Drosophila melanogaster: one gene and its partners. The protein of the gene in region 1 interacts with the protein of each later gene in a pairwise test. Each region holds a gene or a part of one and is shown in the gene's direction. Other genes may lie near its edges.

Region 1 (7,215 bases):
GCCTACATTTCGCTTACAATATGGATTATGCTTGGCGTGAAAGTATAAATAATAATTATTAACGTTTTTCACCGACTTTGCGCGGTCCAAGTGCAAGTTTTACAATTTACAAATTGCTTTTAAATGGGCTGTGAAAAGTTTTAATGAGTTTTCCACGCAGCCGTCCTTCATCTAAGCGCCCAGTACATTCCGCCCACCGCCTTGTCAACGATTTCTGTTTATGCATTTTCATTTTCATTATCATTCCCTTTTTTTCGACCAGCACTGCCCTCTCGTTTTCCGCTTTCCATTTGTTATTAAGCTAACGCTTTCCGTTACTTTTTATTACTTTTTTGCACCAAAAGTTTTTCCTGTCACAGTGGGTGGGCGTGGCACTACATTGAAAGTGTTTTTTTTTTTTTGTTGTTGTGGGCGGGGGCAAAGGTCGCCTTATGAAATTATATCAATCGGGCAGATTGATAAGTCGCTGCTCTTGGCAGCTGGTAAATGACATTTGCTTTTTCCAATTGTTCATATTTTCATTAAGCAACATTTGAATTTTCCCGAATGTAACCTGTAATCGCTTCACTTCAGAATCAGAATTAGAAATGTATTCAAGTACGAGTTTCCGCATTGCATGGCTACATTTCTAATTTCGGTCTGGTCAAGAACAGGGCCCCAGAGCAAGTCTCACGTCAAATTAAATCAAGCTGTAATATAAAGAAAATTGAAGCCAAGTCCCCTTTGTGCCATAAACTACGGATGGCCAAGGAGCATGCGGTGTGGGGGAAAATGAGACTGGCCTTGGTGTGCGAGTGGGTGGGGTGGTTTCCGCAGCTGATTGGCAATATAACACCAAGGAACCTTAGCATTCATGGCGGAATTTAACCCGTGTGCCAGTAGTTCAGATTCAACAGAGTTTTGTGGTTAATATTTTATTTCTCTCGTAATTTATAATATAGAAATTTGTTCAAACAAGTGCTTATCAAAATATGTACCTAAATATCACCAATGTACTGAAGAAATTTATGTTTATTACAAATATACACATTAAATCTTTAAACAAATGAACAACCACTTGTAATTGCCAGTATATAAATTCGACCTGCTAAATGGCAACTGCACTGGCCTCATAAATACAAGCGCCAACTAACCGTGCCAATTTATGGTCAACACTTAATCTAAGCTGTCAATGTGGATGCAACACCAGCGGTAAGAACTACAAAACTTGGCCAACAGAGGAGTGTGTGTAGTGGGTGACTAGTGGCTAGTATCGTAATTGGCGGGGATTACGACAAAACGTAAAAGTGCAGAACGGCATGTGAATGCGGAAGTCGAACTCGCAATTGGCCAAAGTGAAGAAGTCGTAAAGTTTTAGTTGCATTCTGCCGTCTTCGCCTCCGAATTGGACGCTTAATTTATGTTTCAATTCCAATTAGCCAGCGAGGCGCGGGCTTTTATGTTACTATTCCTTCTTTTCGCTTTCGAGTGCACAGAGAAAAATTTCCTTTTTGGTATTAGGTTAAGTGCTAAAATAAATTCGTATCATGAATTAAATACTCTAGTGTTTTAAATGGCTACTTATACATATGGTTTGGTGCTTAATGTAGGTTTTTCTTTATTGAGCAGTATAATGGCGTACTTTTTATTGCTCCCACTTTCAAGCAGCAGACTTATTGAAATTTTTTTTTTTAATTTCAAAAAAATCTACGTACTATTTCATTCATCCAAAATAGGTTAGAGGGAAGATCATTTCCCACCGTGCTCCCTGGTAATTGACTTTCGGCCTGGCCCTGACGCGTCATTTGTAATTGTATATCAGCACGAGGAGCGACGAGAATGGCGGCGTTTATTAGCCATGGCCAAATGCAGCTAATTGAAGTTCAAATTGCGTTGGCGCATGAGTTGAAATGGCAAAGGAAACCGTTGAAATGTAAGCACTCACATGTGATTCCTGTCGGTTCAATAAAACGTTAAGTTCAGTCAGACGACAATGCAGACGTAAACGAAGACGAATCCACTTAAGGCCAAAACGAAACTCAAAAAAAAAGGAAAAAAACAAGTAATGCGAAAGCCAATTCGACACTCAAACACAATCAGCAAAGAAAAGCAGAGTCGAAAGTTGGGCTGCGAAATAAAATCAAGCATAAATGCAATAATACAATTTATGTGCCGAATTTCATAAGGACCATAATGGACATACAAGCACACACTCTCCCCCCAAATCTCCCAAATAATCTGCACAATAAAGATATGTGTATCGAGTGGGACCAACAAAGGTGACTTTCTCAAGTTGGTCAGCAATCGCTGTTACCGTAATCACATTTGGCGCCGAGATGTTGATGCTATTTGCCAGTGTGTGTCATTTTCATTGCGCAAAAGTTTTCCTCCGCTTTTGATGGCAACAATGTCTCCAACACTTGCCCATCGGATATCCGGTCTCTCCATTCAGTTCAGTCCATCCATTCCATCCATCCATCTTCCCATTCTCTGTGTCGTTTGGCAAGTTAACAACATTTGCTTGACGTTTGCCAATTGCATTATGACTCAATTGTGAGTTGAACGATTTCACGGACCATCCAAAGAATCAAAGAGCGGCATCGCATCAATGAGGCAACTTCAAGTTGACTGGAGTGTCAGTCCGTTGAGAGAGAAACAGAAACGGAAACGGAAACAGGGAACTAAGTATAAAGCGGAAGTGAGGCGCAGTTCGATCGAAAATCAATGGAACTTTTAAGAAGTGATGCATTTGGAGGTTTAATAGTTGATATTAGATATATTTTTGATATATTCATATCTGCAAAATTTAAGTCATGGGATGGATATGTTATTTTCATACGTTTAAAACAGTGATGGTTCCTTTGCTGCAACTATTACCACTTCGGATGATACAACTATCCACATTAAGATGCATATATTCATGTGGAAGCGTAACACTCAGATTGAGATGCTTGAAGAGCGGTTGGAACTGAAATGCATTAACAATTTGGCAGCGGCGTTAATGCATCTCCGATGGGCAATAAATCGCGCTGGCCGCAATATGTTTTGGCCACTTGATGGCCCTTCAGCGGACAATTGTAAGTTGCCATCACCGCGAAATGTGGAGCAAGTGCGGCAAGTGCACAGACCTTACCTTATTCCGGGCATTATGCAATGTCTATGGGCCAAAGTCTTGGGCTTTATAAACTGGGTCGACGACACGCCCTTCTCCATTGCCTTCTCCGGCTGATAGGCTCACCCACACCGACTTTTGTGGCTGTCACTTGGAGCTGGGCAATTGTAAATTGATTTGCCACGATCGAGGGATAGAGAAATGGATTTCTGAAAGTCACGCAAAGCCAGACGGCAAAGCTGAAACGAGTTTGAGCTGTACGCCCGATTATGAGTAATTGGCATTGCGCTGGTCAGGTCTTCTATATATGGCCCAACCACCGAGTTATCCAGCACAGTTGTTCCAATTGCTCCAATCGACATGGCTTACTTCCAGTTCCTCAGCGTTGCCTCCAGCTTGCTTCTACTCCTGGCTCCCACCTGGGCAGGTCTGATTGCTCAGCCGACCATCACCTATGCTGGCAATGAGCACGCGGTGGCCCACACCCAACAGAATGTAGTAAGGAGCTTCGATGGCACCGTCTCCCACTACGCCAAGTCGCTGGCCACGCCCTACTCGCAGGTCCACAAGCAGGACACGCGGATCAGCAACAATGTCTACCAGCCGGCGGTGGCCAAGACCTTCAGTTATGCTACAGCTCCAGCTCCGGTTTACACGCACCAGGCTCATCAGGAACCAAAAAATCTGTTTACTCAGGCATCGCCAGTTTACCAGCAGGATGCTCATGTCCAGACTCCATCGGTTTACCAGCAGGCTGCTCATGTCCAGACTCCATCGGTTTACCATCAGCCCGCTCAGGTGCAGAGCTACCACCAACCTGGTCATGTGGAGGCACCTTCTGTTTACCAACAGAACGCCCACTACAGCCACCAGCCTGCTGTCATCCACTATTCTCCGGCGGAGACCGTCTCCCACATGAGCTTCGATGGTTTCGGTACCCACTACGGATTTTAAGTGATCAATACTTAAGTTAAGATTATAAAGAATAGCTTGTGTATGCTTGTTAAATAAATTGTTGAACTAAAACCTTAAATGTTTTTAAATACTTATAAAAACTGGACATTGTTTCTTATTCGATTTAATTTTTTATTTAGTTAAGCTCTGCAGTTAATAGTTGTTAACAGCTTGTTATATAATGTTCTTGCATAACCATATTTGCATCATGTACGCAGCATTTGCATTGGTTTTCTTGTACATCGTGTGGTTTATTCCCTGTTTATCACTCACGTTCGGAGGCAGCGTAAACAAATCATAAAAATCCACACAAAGTGCACCCTACAAATAGCCCCAAGTAGGACATTAGCTCTGGTCCTTACACCAGTCCGTGATCCTTAGATCCTAGGGCAGAAGGATGCAGAGGGCTTACGTGATTTGTGCAGCGCAAACTTAAAAATCGGACATGAAAGCTACGTGACTGGAATGGCAACCAAAGGAGCCAGGAGCATTTGAAAGGGCGAAGGACCATGAAGTGGCATGGCTTATGAACTAATAAGATTCTGCCCATCCTCGTAAATTATGCACATTGACAACTGTAATCGGGAAATTGAAATCAGATTTTTGCTGCCTCATTAATTTTGCAAAAGAAAAAGGAAAACTCCATACGCAGCCGGAAGCAAATCGAAAACTTATGAATGCCCGGAGTCAATAACCAATTTGTGTGCTCCTCTTTTTTCCATAGCCTATTTAAATGATAGCTTCATTAGCTGGCCATCAAAGTAATGGCCAAAATGATTACCAGAACAGGGCCAGCAACTTCTGGAGCGAATTTCCGAATTGAAAAACCGAGCAAAAGGCACAAAGTTGCGAAAAATGAAGCCATAAACTCCGCTTAGTCCGGCATCCTGCAGGACCTCCTGTCATTCCCCCTTTTTGAGCCACCACTTCTGTCCGCCACTTGAGTGCTAAAAGGCGCAATGATAAAATATTTGCCCGACCAGGGCTAGTAAATTTGTTGGCTGAAAAGTTGAAACAGCTAACAAAATGCAAAGGAGACGAAGAAAGGCCGAGCCGTTAGTTGTTGTTTTTATTTAGCTGTTGCGGCTAAAGTTTTCCCACTTTCCACAGCCAGGACATCGTCCAAAGGCAAGTTGGCGAAAAATAAAAATGCAAAATGCCCAGTAAGACGTATTTATCAACATAATTACATTTTTTAATGGCCCTTTAAACCGCAAAATGGCAAAGCCGCAAAGCAAGATAGAGTCATGGCGAAAACTTGCTTCAACATCTTGATACTTTCCGTGCTTCCAACAAATATTAAGTCAATTTGGGTGGCTTAAAAAAAATTGTGAAATAATTGTTAATGAGATAATTTACTAGAACTTCAATGATGATTTCAGTTTTACATGTTTAAATGGAAATACGTATTTGAAAGTACAAAAGGAAACATATAATATTACTAAAATATTAATAAGACTACCTTTGTTTGTTATTGTCTGATATAAATATCAAGTACCAGCTTTTTCCAAACAGTTAGGAGGTTCTAATATATGCGAATTGTTTCAGCGAATTATTTTCTTATCATATGCGGTATAAGTGCATCGCAACTTCCAACTGTAATTAATTGCCTTTAAACTTATAAAAGTTAATAAGTAGCACAAAACGATTAATAATATTGATAACACATAAAGAGAATATTCGCATGTGAAAATGTATACTGCATTTGTTTATTAGTTATAGCTTCCAGCACGATTTCCAGGTCTCTGGTTTATAATTAACTCTATGACGAGAGATACAAGAGAATTAAGAGAGCTCATTTTTTTTATTTCTCTTCATTTCATTGTTTATGCGATTGCATGCTTATTTAAAAAATTGCAAATTAATCAAATCGTTTTAACTAAAACCCGGTTTAAGTATCAAATATGTGCTACTCAAAAATTGTAAAAAAAAATGTTACTGTTTGTTAAAGAAGATCGTTAGAAGAGAGCCTTTCAACGTAAGAGAGAATACATTTGTTGTTATGACCTATCAAAAGCGTCAATATTTTAATAATGTAATAAGTAATATAATTTAACAGTGATAATCTGGAATTGAAGCAATTTTTTTTTTTTTTTTTTTTTTTTATTTTACTTTGCTTTTATTTATTGAATCTTCTTGTATAAGAACTAACAATAAGTTTAAAAATCTTAACTATAACAAGTATTTTTTGAACAGTTGTATTATTTTTCCAACTGTTCTATGTTTAAACGGCCCTAATAATTTATTCGCTGGGTTGGTAGGTCCTTTCGCCGGAGACGGGAACGGCTGCTGAGCTGGATTAGACCTCGCGCTAGGTGGTTGGGGTGCGTGTGAAGCTTGCTATGGTATTTTTCCTTAAGTTCCGTGATTGCGTTGGTAACTGATGGGATATTTAAGTCTCTTTGGATGTTTTCACTCCGAACGTACCACGGTGCCCCAGTGATGGTTCTCAGAATCTTTGATTGTGCTCGCTGAATGATGTCAATATTGCTGTTGCTGGCATTGCCCCATAACTGTGAGCCATAGGTCCAGATTGGTTTCAATATAGAATTGTAGAGCAAGACCTTGTGATCTAGGCTGAGCGGAGAACCAGAGTTGATGAGCCAGTGTAAGTTGTTGGCTTTGAGTTTAAGTTGGGTTTTTTTGGCTTCAATGTGCCTGCGCCATGTGAGTCTTCTGTCTAGGTGTACTCCTAGGTACGTTACCTCGTCTGCTTTCGGGAGTGGTATGCTGTTCAACAAGAGCGGAGGACAGTCTTGTCTGTTTAGCGTAAACGTCACGTGCTTGCATTTTTGCTCGTTTACTTTTATTCGCCAGTCAGAGAGCCACTTCTCAATGTCGATGAGGTACAGTGCCAACTGTGCTGTAGCTTGGATAGGGGACCTTGAACGGCTAAGGATAGCTGTATCGTCGGCAAATGTGGATACCGTTAAGCGACTATTTGTAGGGATGTCGGCTGTATAGATGAGGTATAAGGTTGGCCCAAGAACGCTGCCTTGGGGGACTCCAGCCTCAATTGTATGAACAGTGGAAGTGGCAGTGTTGCACCGCACTGCAAACTTTCTGTCATAGAGGTAAGACTTTAGAAGTTTGTGTGTGCTTTCGGGTAGGGATGTTTTAATTTTAAACATTAGGCCGTCGAGCCAGACTTTGTCGAATGCTTGGGATAC
Region 2 (8,999 bases), on another chromosome or scaffold:
GAAATCGATGGATCATTGAACCGCGCTCCTATCGCGGTTCCCAAAGTCATTTCATGGTCGCATTAACAATTCTCTGTGCATTTATGGTTTCTTTTAATTATTTTAGAAGACAGCAGCAGTCGGCGCTGCGTTGGCCATTTTTGGTCTGTGCGATTGGATGGTTGGCCAGGTTATTTTCGTCGACGGGCAATCGTTTCAAATGGCTGACGCAACGGCGCAATTATTTTTCGCCAAAAAAATGTTCATAAATAAAAACAGATATTTATTTATTAATTTTTCTCTGCGCCTCGTCCACTTCGCAGCTGCTTTTTCTTTCAGTAATTGTCGTTTTTGCATACTATTGCTCGCCTGTCATCCGCTGCCAGAGCGAAAAGACATTGACCCACATTATCCATCCATGCCAGCGAATGTCTGATCTTAATGCTATCGAAATTTCTGGCGAGGAATGAGTGACAACATTTGGACTCCATATGCTCACTTTCGCTCTCGAGATGTTCGAAATATTCGTTGTCGCTACTTCTGGTAAAAACTCAAATTAATCACGGAAAACGCTGGAGTGGAGTGGCGATGGAGGCGGGCGAGCGAGGGTGCTCGACCACTTTTATCAGCCGTAAAATTAATCAAACATTATTATTTATTATATGGCCTTTGGCTCTCGCAACGCCGCGCAATTTGATGCGCGTGTGCCTTGTTTTCATCTCCAAACGGAGCATTCAAATATCTTTCGCCCCGGGCAGTGAGTTGTTTTCCACGTTGGTTCATTCAATTAAATATGCTAATTTCAGTTTTCACCGTTTTCTAAGCGCTGTTTTGGCGGGTTGTCTACTGGCTAACAGGTATTGTAACATTGGTCGCCATTCAATCACTCAAACTTGAGTCAAATGGCATTAAAGGTTACCCATATAAACCATGTGGTCACCGCATACCAATAGGTTTATCCATTTACTACGGAATTCGTTCTGATTGACTTAAGAGCTTGGCCCTCTAACTTTCCCATCAACTTTCCTCCAGGATATTAATGATATTTTACTCTGTTATATTTTAAACTGCATCTTTAGCTAGTAACCTTCGCTGCCACGAAACCGTCTAATCTGCTCGAAGGTCATCCAGAACACCACGGAGGCAGGTCCGACACGCATCCAATATGGAATGAATCCCTTGTACATGGCCAAAAAGCCCTCCTCTCTAACCAACCTACTTAAGCAATCCAGGGAGCCCTTGTAATGAATGCCGCGTCCCTGCTCATCGGTTGGCTGATTCATGATCCGGGACTTGACCACGTCCGCTGGCAAGCTCAGAATGGCATCCGCTACGCCGGCGGTCATGGCGGCTACGAACTGCACTTCTCGGTTATCCACCAGATCGAACTCGGCAATCAGAAAGCGTTTGCAAAAGTCATAGCAGCTGACGTCCCCTTTAGAAGGAAGGGGTGATATTGAACATATCTGAACCTGACTGATCCAATCCCGATTTTAAGGCTCACCTATGGTCACGAGTGCCGAGCGCCATGTGTTTGGAACAGTTCCCTTCCAGAGACCCACCACACCACCCGTTCTGTAAATGGAAGTCAGGGCCTGGAGCACATTGTGAATGCGTGGAGGCTCGCCCCTTAGACGCCGCTGTCCCTCCATTTGCATTTGGATCTTAATCAGCTCGGTGGGATTCGTTAGTACGCTGGCAGTTGCGCCGGCTAAGACGCCACTGATGCAGGATCCCAGGAAGGATAGCTGCGGCCTGCCGTCCTCGTCGGGCACGATCATCTTCTCACGCATATAGTCGTAGGTCAGCATTTTGATGCCACTGAAGAGCGAGTGGCGGAACAGCATGGCGGATATGCCACCGTAGAGCTTCAGCAGACCCTCCTCCCTGACGATGCCCATGGCAGTGGCCAGCAGACCTCGGTACTTGGCCTTCTGACCCACCCTGCTCGCGATCTCGCCCTGGATCTGCATTCGGGTCTTGCACATATCGAAGGGATAGCCCACAATCTCGGCACTGCAGGCGGAGGCGAATGCCGTGAGGTAGAGTTCAACCGGCGGAGTCTTCTTGTTGGTCACCAAGTACTCCAACTTGGGTCTTTCCTTCTCCTCCGAATTGTCCCATTCTGCTGGCCTAAAGACTGTGTTAACGCCTTTTCCCATTTAAGAGAAATATCTTGAGTGTTTGTTGTGTGCATTGGAATATAAAAAATAAAATAAAGCAAAATTAAAGACAACAAAATCATTTCATATTAACGAATAGGATTGGGATTAAAGTTATATTTATAATATGTATAATAGATGGTTTGACTTGCACCTTTTATTGCGTGTTAAAAGACATACAAAATACGATAGTAAGATTGATAGTTTGCTCCTAAAATCCACTCTGGCCTTCCCACTGACGCAGCTGCTCGACGGACAGCCAAAAGAGCACTGAGAACGGTCCCAGCCGAAACCAAGTGGGCATTAGGCCCTTATATAACGTGAGGACACCCTCCTCCCTGACCAGCTTCCTAACGCAGTCGAGGGAGTTCTTGTAGTACAGATTCTTGCCGCTCTCGTCCACCGGCTGGTTCATCATCCGCGACTTGATCACGTCCGCCGGCGTGCTGAGCACGGATGCCGTTAGTCCGGCGCACATGGAAGACACGAAACGCAGTGGCAGGCCTTCCTCCAAGTCCAGCAGGCGCTTGAAGGTGCGCTTACTGATATCGTAGCTGCCCACATCGCCGGTCGTCATCAGGCAGGCACGCATGCAGCTGGGCCCTACACCCTTCCACATACTGGGCAGTCCGCCACGGCGGTAGATGTCCACGAAGGCCTGCACCATGCTGTTCACCCGCACATCATAGCCCAGCTGGCGGCGGCGTCCTTCCGTCTGCATTCGCACCTTGACGATGTCAAAGGGATTGGCCAGTGCCTGGGCAATGCAGCCTGCGGTGAAGCTGCATCCCAGCGCCATGTAGATCTTGAGCACTTCCTCGTTCCGCTCGTTCTGGTAGAGAAAAGGGCGCCGGAAAACGTCGTAGAGAACAACACGTAACGAGTTGAAGATAAAGTTTCGGGTCACCATTGCCGAGAAGCCGGCGTAGAGCGACTTGAATCCCTCCACTCGGATCATGTTGGTAAGAGTTGCCCGGAAAGTTGGCATCGCTTTACCCGTCTTCTTGGCCTGCTCGCCATCTACCTGCATCCGGGTCTTGGCCACGTCCAATGGGAAGACACACGACTCGGCCAGATTGGCTCCAATGAAGGTGTTGACGTAGAGCTGGAACAGATTGCGTGCGGTTAGTGGATCAGCGACGTTTGTTGGCGGAAATCGCGGCTCCTCTTCGATTTCCAAGGATCGAAGATGCCAGTAGTCGCGTTCAGCTTTGTCCATTGTAAACTCGTAATTTGGTCGGTAAGTGGTAAGTGGAATTGTATGTTTGGAATTGTTTGTTTAGAATTGTTTGAAATGTGTTTAGGTAGCTACAATTTAAGTGTTACTATAAATAGACGACATACCAACAGGTGGTGTCTGCGATTGGACTAGTTTCTCTTTAGTATATATAATATCCATCTATATACATACAAGGAATGCTATCCCAGGATACGAGTACTTAAAACTCAAGTATGGTCCTTTGATTGAAGTACCCAGTCGGATGGTGAAACAGAAGTGACTTAGTTTAAAGACCACGGAATACACACCCCACATTCATAAGGGTTCATTAGTCATCCCGGGGTACTGGAGGCCACTCCCGCGTTGTCTTACAAGTGGGTCAGGTCAGTTACTATGAAGTGCCCCTCACTCCCGACAATCTAACACTCGCTGACCGACTGACCGATTTGGCTAATGTCGGGCAACCCAACCAGCAAACACTTGTGTGTCATATGTTTCGCACACTTTACGAAAGTGCTGATCAATCCAAAATCGAAAGAAACCTGAGGAGTTTGTTGAACTGTCCACCATGCCAAAAGAAAACGCTGGTCGAAATTTGCAGGAATCAGCTGAAATCGAAGCAATTGAATATGTTTAAGTATGAATCCAAATGCTCTATTATTATAGGAACTCTTTTGATTAGTAACGAATTCAAGATGAACATATTACAAAGAAAGTATGTTATAAAGCTTGCTCCCTCCTAAGTATCTTCATAATGTATATACAATTTTCATAGAATATAGCATTAATACAAATAATCTATTTATTGTTACTAACATCGGCTACTTCGGTTTGAATTCACTTCAACTTCGCACATGGAAGTGTATTTTGGTTACGATTCGAACCCCTTTTGGCCAGGTCCGTTCAAAATTGGTGTCTGCATTGGTTTTTATTCAGTGATACGATTTTCAAGTGAATAAAACTCCGATTACCAGTGCAATATACCAGAACAACGCGGTTAATAGAGGAAAAACATAATTCAGACAAACGAGAAAAATTACAAAAGACCGCTTCGAGGAAATCAGTTGGGTAAGTTGTGGAAGTTGGAAGGCACCTTTTAATGGATCTCCATCCTCAGCAGCAGAGTTAAAGACTATAAAAGCGCTGCCCATCGGCAAACGGAAGTTAGTGAGCGGAAGAAGAACATGGATATCCAACCACAGGCCTTGAAGCTGATCTTCCTTTGGGCATGCCTGGCCATTGGGCTAACGGTGTTACCAGGAGCAACTGCATCCGGACATGAGGCCAGTCCAGCTTCGAGGGATCTACTGAATCGCAGCAAACGCACCATGACTACCATCTGCGTGGAGATTAGGCCAAGTAGTCCGCAGGATGAGCCGTATTATATGTGCCGGGGAGCCAACTTCGGTGGCGACAGTAGCCAGCAAAGTTGTGTGGAGGTCAGAAGCCAAGGTGGCCAGGGGGAGCCATTCTACATGTGCCAGGGAGCGAAATCCACAGAACCCGCAATCGAGAATCAACCCTCCATGGAGCATATGCCTCCGTTTAATCCTCAACCCGCTGAACATCATGATTACGGTCACAACTTTCCCGTGTTTCCCGCCTTTGAGGGCGGGTCATATCCCCAGCAGCCCGTCACAGAAGATCCCACTCGCATTCTCCAAGTCCAGCCAGCGGGTCCGACGTCATACCAGGAGAAGCCCCACCAGCAGCCTAATCCTCAGCAGCATCAGCCCCACGCCCAGTACGGATTCTACGGAGGCCCTATGGCAGCCCCTCCAACTGCACCTGCAGCGGAGTCAGCTGGCATGCAAGAATTTCATCACCCAATTGTGGGCAGCCCGCCAGCAGCTCCACCAGGAGTTCCAGCTGGCCCAAGCCCAGCGTCCACGGCCGCTTCGTATGATCCTGCAGCATTTGCGAGGTCGTCAAGTCGCCCCAACGAGAACCCAGTAGCCGGAAATGGTAGACATCGATTCACTATCGACGAGGAGGTGCTGGCAGTGCCGGATGTGGGTTTTAGGCGAGAGGAGCTCCAACAGCAATACCGTAGGCCAGTGAGTCAACCGCGACCAGAAGATCAGTTGATGTGGGTGCCGTTGTCGCAGACGCAGGATCCCGAAAACGATCCGGTTATGAAGGCATTCTACAGCAGCCTGGGAGACGAAAGACATCCCACACAGGAGGCACCGGTGAGCAACCAGGATGAGCCCATGTTGGGACAAATGTCTCCTGGCTACAGCCCCTACAACAATCAATACCCAGAGGCTCCTGCCCCACCCACTCTGCCGCCACCACCTCCAACCTATTCCCAAGCAGATGTAACTCCCTCTGCCAACACATATTGTAATGGATGTCCTCCCACAGCACCACCAATTCAATGTCCAGTGGACAACGGGGTGAGCTACAGTACCACCTGTCCGAGCTTCCAACCGGTCATTATAAGCATGCCCTGCTACGCACAACGAGCACCAACTCCCTACTTTGGGCTTCCCAGAGCACCACCAGCATTGGCTCCAGCAGGTTCCTTTGGAGGTGGATTTGGGCTGGGAGCACAGCTGGGAAGCCCTTTTGGCATGTCTCCCCAGATGGGAGGACAGGGATACGACATGGAGCACCAGGTGGGTGGCCCCTTTGGCATGGGCATGCAGCTTGGAATGGGAATGAACCCATTCGGACCCTTCGGAGCCCTCAATCCTTTCAATCCTTTCAACAGAGTTCTGGGAGCACCAGCTCCCGCTGCTCCAACGCAAAATGGTAACTTTTTCCAGCGCGTCTTCAAATTCAACCAGGACGCTGCCTCCACCTCAACAACAGAAGCTGCTCCTACCACAGAAGTTCAATCGGAAAGATCGGGCAAGCTGAACTTCTCGAGTAGCACTCCGGCGCCACCCAGCTCAGAACAGCCAGATACCATTGTGGGTGATGACCACGACAGTGATGAGGCTGAGGACTCTGCTGAAGATTTTGACAAGGAAGATGATACGGCGATGACCACACCGCTACCAGCCTCCGAGCCAGATGATTCCGCTGACACATCCGGAGTTCCGGCCATTGTGAGCAAGGCGACGGAACTGCTCAAGCCAACGGAGAAACGGAAGCGACACCGTCAGCGCTCCAGCGGACGTAGTCCCCAAAAGCATAGATACCTGCAGCAGTTGTAGCTCGAAGATATGTTAATGGATCCCTCAAATTGAATAAAGTTTTATTTATATTGTCAAAAGAATAGTACTTTAGTACTAGGCAGGTGTAGTTGCGACTCTTTATCAAAATATAAATCAAAAGTTGAAATACAAAATGAAAAAATGAATCGTTTCATCTTATATGTTAGTTGTTTCCAACATGTATCTTTGGGAAGTTTCCAACAAGTATTTCACCTAATATTAGAATTGTAGAGATGTAAATTCAAATAAATATCTTTTTGTGCTACTATTTTTAGCTAGAGCTGTAATTAATGTTTTCGAACACAAATGCGTCAGCATCTATAAATACTTTTCAAATATATATATACTTGAATTTATTATTGGTTGTATCTTAAGTATTACCAGTATTAAGTATAACCAAACGATGAGTAAGCCCACGATTACTTTCGGAAGTATATTTTACGGCAACCAATATATATTTATGTATTTATTATGTGTTTCTGAACGTATCTTTGTATCTTTGTTTTTTCCGACCAACTTCCGTTCAGCCAAGTGCATTTTGCTTTCGATTGGCCAGCCTGATGCGGATTAAAGCCAAGGCAGTCACGCTCCACGGAGCAAACAGGAACCTCGACTGGTGTTTCGCTACTGTTTAATAATTTCGAGCACGTAAGGGAACAATTTGAATAAACAATAAGGAAAGCAAGACAACAATAAAGAAAATACAAGTAGTGTGGAGTCATCGGCCTGCCAGTGGGGTTATTGGGACTCTTATTGGGAATCTTCGATGAATTGGTAACACCACCTCTATTGGGGCTAAAATAAAAATTGGGTTAGACATGGGACTTGCTGAGCTAAAAGTTTAGTCTTAATTTCCTCATAACAGACAATCTTTATAATTAATTTTAAATACCCTTTCTTTTGTTCAGATAATTTTAAGATTTACAGATAAGATACTAAGAAAAGGCGATCAGTTCTAGTGTGAACATTTGGTTACCTGTTTACTTGTAACTAATTTTAATTCAACATTTTAAAATATATTATAAGGTGCTATAAAAAATGCAACACTATCCAATCTTTAATGTTTATTTTGCCAACTATTATACCCCATCAAAAGGTGTCCACACCTGCTGACCTGGCATTAATCCGTTGTGGTGTGCAACTCCAGCAGTCCGCTGCGATTGGGAGCCACTGGTTCTGGTAGTTGCAATTGAGAGTTCGAACCGCGAGGTTAATGCTGCCAACGCAATTACCACATGATGATGCACTCCAGAAACAGATCGTGGACTCTGACCCTGCTGGCGCTGGGCGTGGTCCTGGCCACTTCAGCCGAGGATTTGCCGCGGTCCAATCGGATTGCGGTACCGGGGGAGCCACTCTACTACCTGATGGCGGATGCAGGTCCTGTGGTGACCCCCAATGAGGCTTTGAAGCGCACGAACCGCTCTCTGCTCAAGTGGTGGGATGATCTCTTTCCCCGCAACAACAACAACTGCTGCAACAACAACAATAACAACCTGCTGTATCCGACAGCTCCACTGCTACCCGCGCCCGCTGTGCCCAACAACTGCAACGGCCTGCAGCTGCAGGATCTGGATCCCTTCAAGCAGATGAAACTCTTCAAGAAACTTCCCGAACTATTTCCCACAGCCAGTCCGTGTGGACAGTGTGGCGGTGGATGTGGTCAGAACAACTATGTGGCACCGGCGCCACAGAGTCCTTCCTACGGCGGTGATGGTTACGGAGTCCTGCCCAACGGTGGGTACATCAAACCCGATACCGAGTACAATGGACCCGGCGATGGCGATGCAGGCTATGTAGCACCGGCAGCTCCTGCCTACGAAGCTCCGGCACCACCAGCTCCTGCTTACGAAGCTCCTGCTCCACCAGCTCCTGCCTACGAAGCTCCGGCACCAGCTGCTCCTGCCTATGAAGCTCCGGCACCAGCTGCTCCTGCCTACGAAGCACCTACAACTGATTACAGTGCTCCCGCTCCACCAGCTCCCGCCTATGAGCCACCAGCATCCAGCTACACCCAGGGGTACAGCCAGCCCGCACAGCCAAGCTACGTTGGTGCACCACCGGCACAGATCGTTTACCAGCCCATCATCTATCTCTCCACTCCACTGGCATCGAAGTCGTCCACCTCCCAGGTGGAGTATGATGATCAGAAATATGTCACTCCAACAGCCCCACCACCACCGCCACCACCTGCCCCCGTTTACGAGGCGCCATCGCAGAATTGCTACCAACCGGCGGCTCCTCCTGCTCCCAACTATGCCACGCCCTCGTGCCAAACGCCCATCCGCCTTTCGCTCATAGATCAGCCATATCGAGTGGCTCCGGAACTGTTCGAGGAATACAACTACCGCCTGGCCCTTGCCTCCCAGAATATTTTGTAGTTCTCTAAACGCCATGATGCTTGACCAATCTGTAAATAAAAGTCTTCTAATAATTTCTGACTTTGTACTGTTGCATTGGGTGGAAGATTGTTTA
Region 3 (7,584 bases), on another chromosome or scaffold:
GCTATAGAGCTTCTATAGCAATAAGGCGGGAACAGAGTTCAGAGCCGAGACTATATTCCGGCGCCTATGACCATCGGAATCGGAATATTGAACGTCAGCATCACCTCTATCATTAGCACGAGCAGGAGTGTGGTTTGAACGGTTTCCCTTATCAGCATCATTTGATTTTCCCGGTGATCGCCCTTGTTCCATACCAGATACTCATTATCCAACGCGTCCTGCAGCGAACAGTCCATGTATCCGTATGGATACATCATTTGCACGGTGATACGCCATATTAGAATAAAGAATATACTGGGACTGGGAATGAGGAAGTTTCTTACAGGCCAACGACTCTGATCCTGCATACTTCTTAACTTACGCCATGCTCAAGGGCAATCCGCTCATCCAGCCTGTCTTTGGTAATTTAAAAGTACTAAAATAGTGGGGAAACACTTATTCCAATGCCTACTTATCTACATAAGTTGGTAATATATGCAATATAATACAAATGTTAAATTACTCATCATACAACGTATTTTGTACATATATACAAAGTAGATAAAAGTCAAGTAAAATGTGTGGCAATACATTTTACATGAAGGCAACCAAGTTGACATGTAAATTGGTTTGTGTCCAAGCTGTGTTCAATTCAGTAGATTTAATAGTGAAGCCATTTTAAAAGGTACATATGTATGTGTCTTCAATCCAACGTTACCTTCAAATGGAGCAGCGTTGACCATGGCCCACAGAGAACATCATCCACAGTAGGGTTCATCGTGATACCTTCCAGGGCCTGAAAAGCATCCACATAGGACAGGTCTTGGAGCTGCCTGCCAAGTTGACCGTGCTTGCACCAACCACTGACCCATAGCCGCCCGCATCGGCGGATCAGCAGAGTGTGACGAGATCCAGCAAACACCCTCAGCGGTGCGCAATCATCGTTGCTCTCCCCGCTTTGGGAGCAGGCACATTCGGGCAGATCTTGCAACTGGGGCAGCGGAAATACAGTGGGCTCTTTGAGGACGCCACCGGGTTTCATCACACGCAATCCCAGCTGACCGCTGCAGTTGAGGCCCCAGGTGTAGAGGTCTCCAAAGGCGGATATGGCCGCACTGTGCCAACCACCGGCAGCAATTTGAGTTATCTGCAAGGCACTTGAATGTGTGACAGACAAGATAAGTGGACAAGTCAAATATATATATACCTTGATCCCCGCCAGCGCCTCCAGCAATTGAGGCGTCTCCTCCACTCTCAGTTCCGCCAGACCCAACTGTCCGCGTCTGTTAATTATGACATAGAAGTGAAAAAAATTGTTAGGAATTAGAATAAGAAACTCGCTAATATCTAAATATCTTAAAACCAGAATATGTAAATATTTATAGGCTGCATTTCTGCACAGCCAACGCATTCATTATGACCTTTACTTACAGTCCATTTCCCCAGGTGAACACGTCGCCATTGGCATTGAGGAGCACGGCATGTTCATGGCCGCATTGGAGCTGCTTCACCCGAAATTGGCGCTCGGAAAACTGATGCAGGCAGCTGGGAATGCTGTAGACACAGTTTTCCGAACTTATCGCTACGTTTATGTGCGATCCACATGCAATATGCTCTATGATCGGCGACGAAGGCGCCTTGGCAGCCCCAAAGATAGAGCGCTTTGTACCCGAATTGGATCTGGGAGCAGCTTCTAGTCTAACAGCCACCAGTTCCGCTTGCAGTTTTGGTTGCACCCTGTAAAGCTGACCGCTTTGGAGTAGCACCAGGCAGTGGGAATCGGCAGCGGCAAGGGCCCTTATGTTCCCCGTTGCTTCCAGGGTCACGCACTCATTTGGGCCATCATCCAAGAGCCCACGCAGGCACAACTTCCGGCCAAAAGCGAGGGCCGCATACCGCCAGCCGATCGAAATCGTGCACTGGTTCTGAGTCGAGACTGGCGCATTTAATTCTGTAATAAAGGCAGAACTGAATTAGTACACATACATACATACGGTGGAAGCCCCCTAAAAAGATTTTGTCTAAGTTATTAGTTTATCAATTTCATTGCTATGTATGTATTTGGCCAATCAAAAAATGCAGTTGGCACCAAGTACCGATGTGTAATTTACCCTATAACTGTCAATTAAAATGCAGTCTATATCCAATGCATGAATATGAATATGCAAAGAATTTTATGGATTAATGTCCTACGTATATATTCACCTGAAAATCACTATACTCTATTTTAAACATGAAATCTTAAAAATTCATCTGGCTTAAATCGGATTCAGTTTTATAAGATAGAATTAGAATTGTAAAAATGGTATAAGCTGCATGCATCCCAGCGAGTTCTATAGCGAGTGCCTACTGTAGCAACTAAGTGATCGGCGGCTTTTGTTGCCGGTTACAAACCGCTGAAGCCGGCTGCGCAGTCGACGTCGCCGCTTACACATTCATGCTGGCCAAATGCGTTGAAGCCCGTAAATAGCAGCGGCATCTTCTTCCCGTTCCCGTTCCAATTCGAATACCGCTCGACCCGCACCCCCACCACGTCCCCCGTCTAACAATCCTTTGCAGCGGTTGCTCGGCGACCGTTGGCGCTGTTGTTGTTGCTGTCGGAATTTGTTAGAGCGTTGAGCGAATTTTGTTTTCAGTAGTTGTGCAGCGACGAGCCAGTGATGTTGTGTTTGGTGGTTGAAGTTGATCCAATTCTCAAGTTATCCGACTTTTCCTGAGTTGACCACCAGAAGACACCGTCTTGGGCGGCCAGAGCAGATTGCCGAATCGGGGGGATACAGATACGGATATAGTGGTCGGAGATCGCACCGCCTCCTGGCTGTTATTCTCGCGTTAATTATACGATGGTAGGTTGTCTCCCGGTTCCGTAACAGCTAATTAAGTGCCTTGTTGTTCCGTAATTGCACGATTTGTTTTCATTTTGCGATCGTCGCCATGGAAACCCGCCTCAAAAACTATACAACACTTTTTTGTTAGAGCAGAACTTTTTTCAGCACTACTTCGAAAGTTTTAGGCGCGTAATTATCGGTATTCGAAAAAAAAAACCAAATTGGTGGTTCGGAAAACAAAGAAACATAATAAGCTTTTTGTAGCACACAATGGAAAAAAGAGTTCTTAATTTTTAAGTGAACATGGCAAATTTTTTTACCAATAAACATTTTTATTTCATTCAACCTTGTTGTCGTTTCTTTTGGCGAGCCCTTATCTCAATTCCAACAATATGTTTGTAAAGTTCACCTGTTGATAAGCTTTTTGCATTCTATCACTAAGAGAACGTTTTAATTGCAAGTTTTTTTTTTACAACTTTACATCGTCTTTATTGATAACAACATTGATAATAACAAAACATGTGTGTTTACAAGCATATGTTGCATTTATAAAAACACATATATTTATTAACAATTTTACAAGTTTATAAACTACCAAATGTAGATTGTTATTCAAAATTTCAAAGATAGACCAGAGGATACTACCGAGTCTAGACTAATACTGGTAATCAGGTGCTAGAATAACACACCTTCAAAAAACTAAGTAGAAAAAACAACAACTTAATAGCTTACAAATTTTAGGGTCTGCTATCGCTGTTGCGTAAACTGAGACCCAATCCGGAAAAGGAGGCTCGCATCCTGCTCCTAGGATTGGATAATGCTGGCAAGACCACGATACTGAAGCAGCTGGCATCGGAGGACATAACCACGGTGCGTATAAAGGCGGCGAACTTCTTCCGTTTTCCCCATAAAATACGGAGTGAAATCCCGCAGGTAACGCCCACGGCAGGATTTAACATCAAGTCCGTGGCAGCCGATGGTTTCAAACTGAATGTATGGGATATTGGTGGTCAATGGAAGATACGTCCATATTGGAAGAACTATTTTGCGAATACTGATGTGCTGGTAGGATTGTTATAGATCTAAACTCAATTCTGTTAGCTAATAGTTTCGATTATTTCAGATCTATGTAATTGACTGTACAGATCGGACTCGCCTGCCCGAGGCGGGTAGTGAACTATTCGAAATGCTCATGGACAATCGGTTGAAGCAAGTTCCCGTGCTGATTTTCGCTAACAAACAGGATATGCCGGATGCCATGAGTGCCGCCGAGGTGGCCGAGAAGATGAGCTTGGTGCAACTGCAGGGACGAACCTGGGAGATCAAGGCCTGTACCGCTGTGGATGGCACTGGACTAAAGGAGGGAATGGACTGGGTCTGCAAGAATATGAAGAAGTAATCTAAATTATAGTAATCGTCGCCTGTTAAGTTGTCCCTAAGAACTAAATATACGTACCTACATTTCAACTCACCAAAAGTATCACAATCTCTAATTGTTGGATGAATCTTCCTTTTTTCACGTGTATCTTTAAGTATAAACTGAATATATAGTTGAGAAGGCTATGCTAGTTAAATCATTCATTTTTACCTGACATCTAAACTGAAATCAAATTTCGATCCCCATGTGTTTTTACGGACCTGTTTCGTTCATAAAAAAGATCCTGCCCGCAGGCTCTCAGAAATCATGTCTGCTCATTTTAGGATTAGACAATGCGGGAAAATCCACGTTGACAGACCGCCTGGCGGAAATTTTCAATGGAGAAGTAAGGCCATATATGTGATGGTCCTATCTCCATTTGATAATGTTAGCATAAACTATTTGCAGTCCAAGGAATCTAACAATCAAGTTAGTGAATGGAGCTTCACCATAAATAATTTCAGAGTCCAGTTGTGGGATATTAACGGAGAACTGAAGAATCGCCAGATCTGGCCAAAGTATTATAAGAAAGTGAATGTTTTGGTGAGAGGAGAACTTATATAGAACTTATATAGACTCGACTACAATCCCTGAACCGTAGATTTTTGTACTGGATAGCACGGATGCACTGCGGCTAAGCGAGGCGCGATGTGTTTTATGCGATGTTTTGATGCACCAGGAACTGGATAATGCTCCGCTGCTGATCGTGTCCAACAAGAAGGACGCCTCGGGATCCCTGTCCATGTCCACGGTTATCGATTTGATGGGCCTATATCGCCTAACTGGTCGAGATTGGACTTTTGAGGAATGTTCCATGCGGACAGGGTCTGGTGTTCAGGTATATGTTGTGTTCTATATTCGAAATCTGATAATTTAACTTATACTATCTGGGTAGGAGATCGTAAATTGGATTAACGAAAAGATCAACAATAACAGGAAGTGATTTATCACATTTTTATATTTTCAAAAATTTGGCAACCTATTAACTAATATATTAAATATATATTTAATGTAATTTAGCAACAATAGTTTGTTACACTTGTATTATAGAAATTATTTGCCTCAAATAATGATTCATTTAGTTTGCTGATCGGCAAACACTCTTTTAATTAATACATTAATACAGCCATTTGCTAATCAATGATTTTTGACATTGACCTCTGTCAATAATTGAAAAACTCGTGGCTGAGTAGCAACATTGTGAGGACAAAGCCCTTTTGCATTATCAGTTATTAGTTGTTGTTGCTTTTGGGGCTATAAAAGGGTTAGTTATAGAATTGACTGGCACAGTTTAACAGCGATCGTTGAAATGAACTCAACTCTGGTGATTCTACTTCTTTCGGCTCTGGCTTTGGTGCAGGCCAGGAATATTCGTTGGTCTGAGGAGGACAACTCGTCCCAAGGTCCAAGTCTAAGCCACCCGCATCCGCACTCTGTCAACTGGCCCTGTGATGTGGGTCACTTCCCAGAGGCATTCATTCTAATGCACAAGGTGGATAAGCGACTGGAACGAATTGACAACGAGAGTACCAAGAAACGGATCGAGAACTACGCCGTCAATCAGTTGAGGCAGTGCATCTTGGATGGCCAGATGGACGTGCACTGCGTTAGGCGTTCGATTGGATACACCATGTCATTCATTCACCACCAAATGAGCCAGGCGAATGGAATGTAAGCTCACGACTTGGTGATCAGTTGATATAATTTAAGGACATTCCTTTAGCCACCTTTTTTTTGCAAAATGCATTTTAATAATCAAATCCTTTCAAACGAACTAATTAGTAACAAATTATCAAAATAAATTAAGTTTAAATAATAATTAATTTAAATTCAGCTTTGTCTTATGGGTTTGGATTCCCATTCGTTTCGCGCGAAGCTTGAGGAGCAAGCTTGTGGCACTTTTCCTGCTCGGCCAGCTGGCGCTCCTTTTCCATTTTGGCGAACTTGCTGCCCATATAGAGCTGCTCCTTGAATCGATTCTTTCGCCGCTCATCCATACTGTATCGTCGTAGCATATCCCGTCTGTCCACAATCGACATGCAGATGTCCTGGCAATCCCGCGACGGCTGGCAGAAGCTCCACGAACCGAAAATGGTGTCCACACAGCCGCAGGTGCGACAATAGCCAACAAAGTGACCGATCAGATTGGAATTCGCCTTGCGGAAGGATAGAGAAAGTGGCCCGCCCAGGATCATCATAGCTTGTCCCGAGAAATACCAATCGGTGAGATTATCCAGGAGATCGTGGGCCCTCGGCGGCACTGTCTCCTGCACACTAATATTTAGCTTAATGCCATGGTAATTGGGAGTTTTCAAGTCGGCCGCATCCTTCAACTGCGTCCTGTTCATCTTGACGCACTGTCGTCTCGTCCTGCGATAGGTACGACCTTTGTGTTGGCTACAGGTCGGCTTTTCCGCTTCTTCGCCATCTGAATTTGTTGGCGGGGTCTTGATATTTATGCGAATGCCAAGGACTTGAGATTCCCAGGATCCGTTTAGATCGCAGGGCGCACCTGAAGTTTTAAACTTTATATACATACATGAATCTTAGCTCTACCACCTATTCTTACCATCAGCTGGATCCACGAAGCAGCAGGGCAGCTTTCTCTCCTCCTCCTCTTCCGACGATTGATTGCTTGACTTGCTTGCCTGAATGCTCTCCAATCGTTCCAGGATCTTGTCTAGAACCGGCGAAATCCCCAGCTGGTCCTCTGGCTGTTGATGCGGCGTCTGTGATGGTGGACTTGGGACTTGGCACATGATCTCTGATCCCTTTCGGAAACTACTTCCGATCTGACTTGCTTTTACACGATATTCATAATTTCAAATAGATTTACAGCGATATACTCACTGACTTACCTGATGGTATGCGATTGGGTGCATATCTCAATCCACCATCGGCTGCATTTTGACCGGTTCCCACAATCCTTTGAGCCACCTCCAAAGGTGATAGATTCATTTGAGTGGCCATGGTGTCAATGACATTACTACCGCCCAGCTGTGATGGCTGATTGACTAGCACTTCGGGAAACGGTGCTTGCAAAACGTGGCCAGAAACAGGATTATTCATGAATATGTTCCTTTTCATGGGTATCCTGGCTGGATTTTTGCCCCTCTCCAAAACCTCCTTCCACCAACTTTGCTTTGTTTTCAACGCCTGATTGAGGTTTTCGATTTGCTTCTGATACTCATCCACCAAGTTAAAGAATGAAGATTGCTTGATGGCCTTCAAGCCACCTATTATCTGTTTGGGATCGAGTCCTGAGAAAACCGATTGTATTTTTGGAACACTCTCCATCACTTTAGTTTCGATTTTCGTATTAAGTTTAGAGCTAGTTACTTTATCGGGCTTCTTTTCGGG

What was found. The genes of interacting proteins can lie anywhere in the genome.
Region 2: the proteins of CG7548 (region 1) and CG13992 interact in a two-hybrid assay, tested with the Drosophila melanogaster proteins (one large-scale study listed by BioGRID).
Region 3: the proteins of CG7548 (region 1) and CG17819 interact in a two-hybrid assay, tested with the Drosophila melanogaster proteins (one large-scale study listed by BioGRID).

What each region holds. Positions count from the first base shown.
Region 1 is NT_037436.4:7,502,438-7,509,652, reverse strand, and holds CG7548 (uncharacterized protein), read left to right. Parts: upstream 1-3,435; 5' UTR 3,436-3,451; coding exon 3,452-4,045; 3' UTR 4,046-4,113; downstream 4,114-7,215.
Region 2 is NT_033779.5:5,963,044-5,972,042, reverse strand, and holds CG13992 (uncharacterized protein), read left to right. Parts: upstream 1-4,290; 5' UTR 4,291-4,428; intron 4,429-4,477; 5' UTR 4,478-4,544; coding exon 4,545-6,524; 3' UTR 6,525-6,652; downstream 6,653-8,999. Other genes in the region: Ucp4B (uncoupling protein 4B), read right to left, coding at 1,059-1,414, 1,484-2,141; Ucp4C (uncoupling protein 4C), read right to left, coding at 2,353-3,360; psd (palisade), read left to right, coding at 7,760-8,905.
Region 3 is NT_033777.3:21,882,381-21,889,964, reverse strand, and holds CG17819 (uncharacterized protein), read left to right. Parts: upstream 1-4,414; 5' UTR 4,415-4,429; coding exon 4,430-4,570; intron 4,571-4,632; coding exon 4,633-4,767; intron 4,768-4,825; coding exon 4,826-5,062; intron 5,063-5,119; coding exon 5,120-5,167; 3' UTR 5,168-5,237; downstream 5,238-7,584. Other genes in the region: CG43844 (uncharacterized protein), read right to left, coding at 51-347; CG6678 (uncharacterized protein), read right to left, coding at 698-1,126, 1,187-1,262, 1,411-1,930, 2,374-2,458; dnd (dead end), read left to right, coding at 2,823-2,825, 3,549-3,677, 3,741-3,872, 3,931-4,206; fit (female-specific independent of transformer), read left to right, coding at 5,534-5,899; CG31465 (uncharacterized protein), read right to left, coding at 6,066-6,736, 6,794-7,024, 7,083-7,584.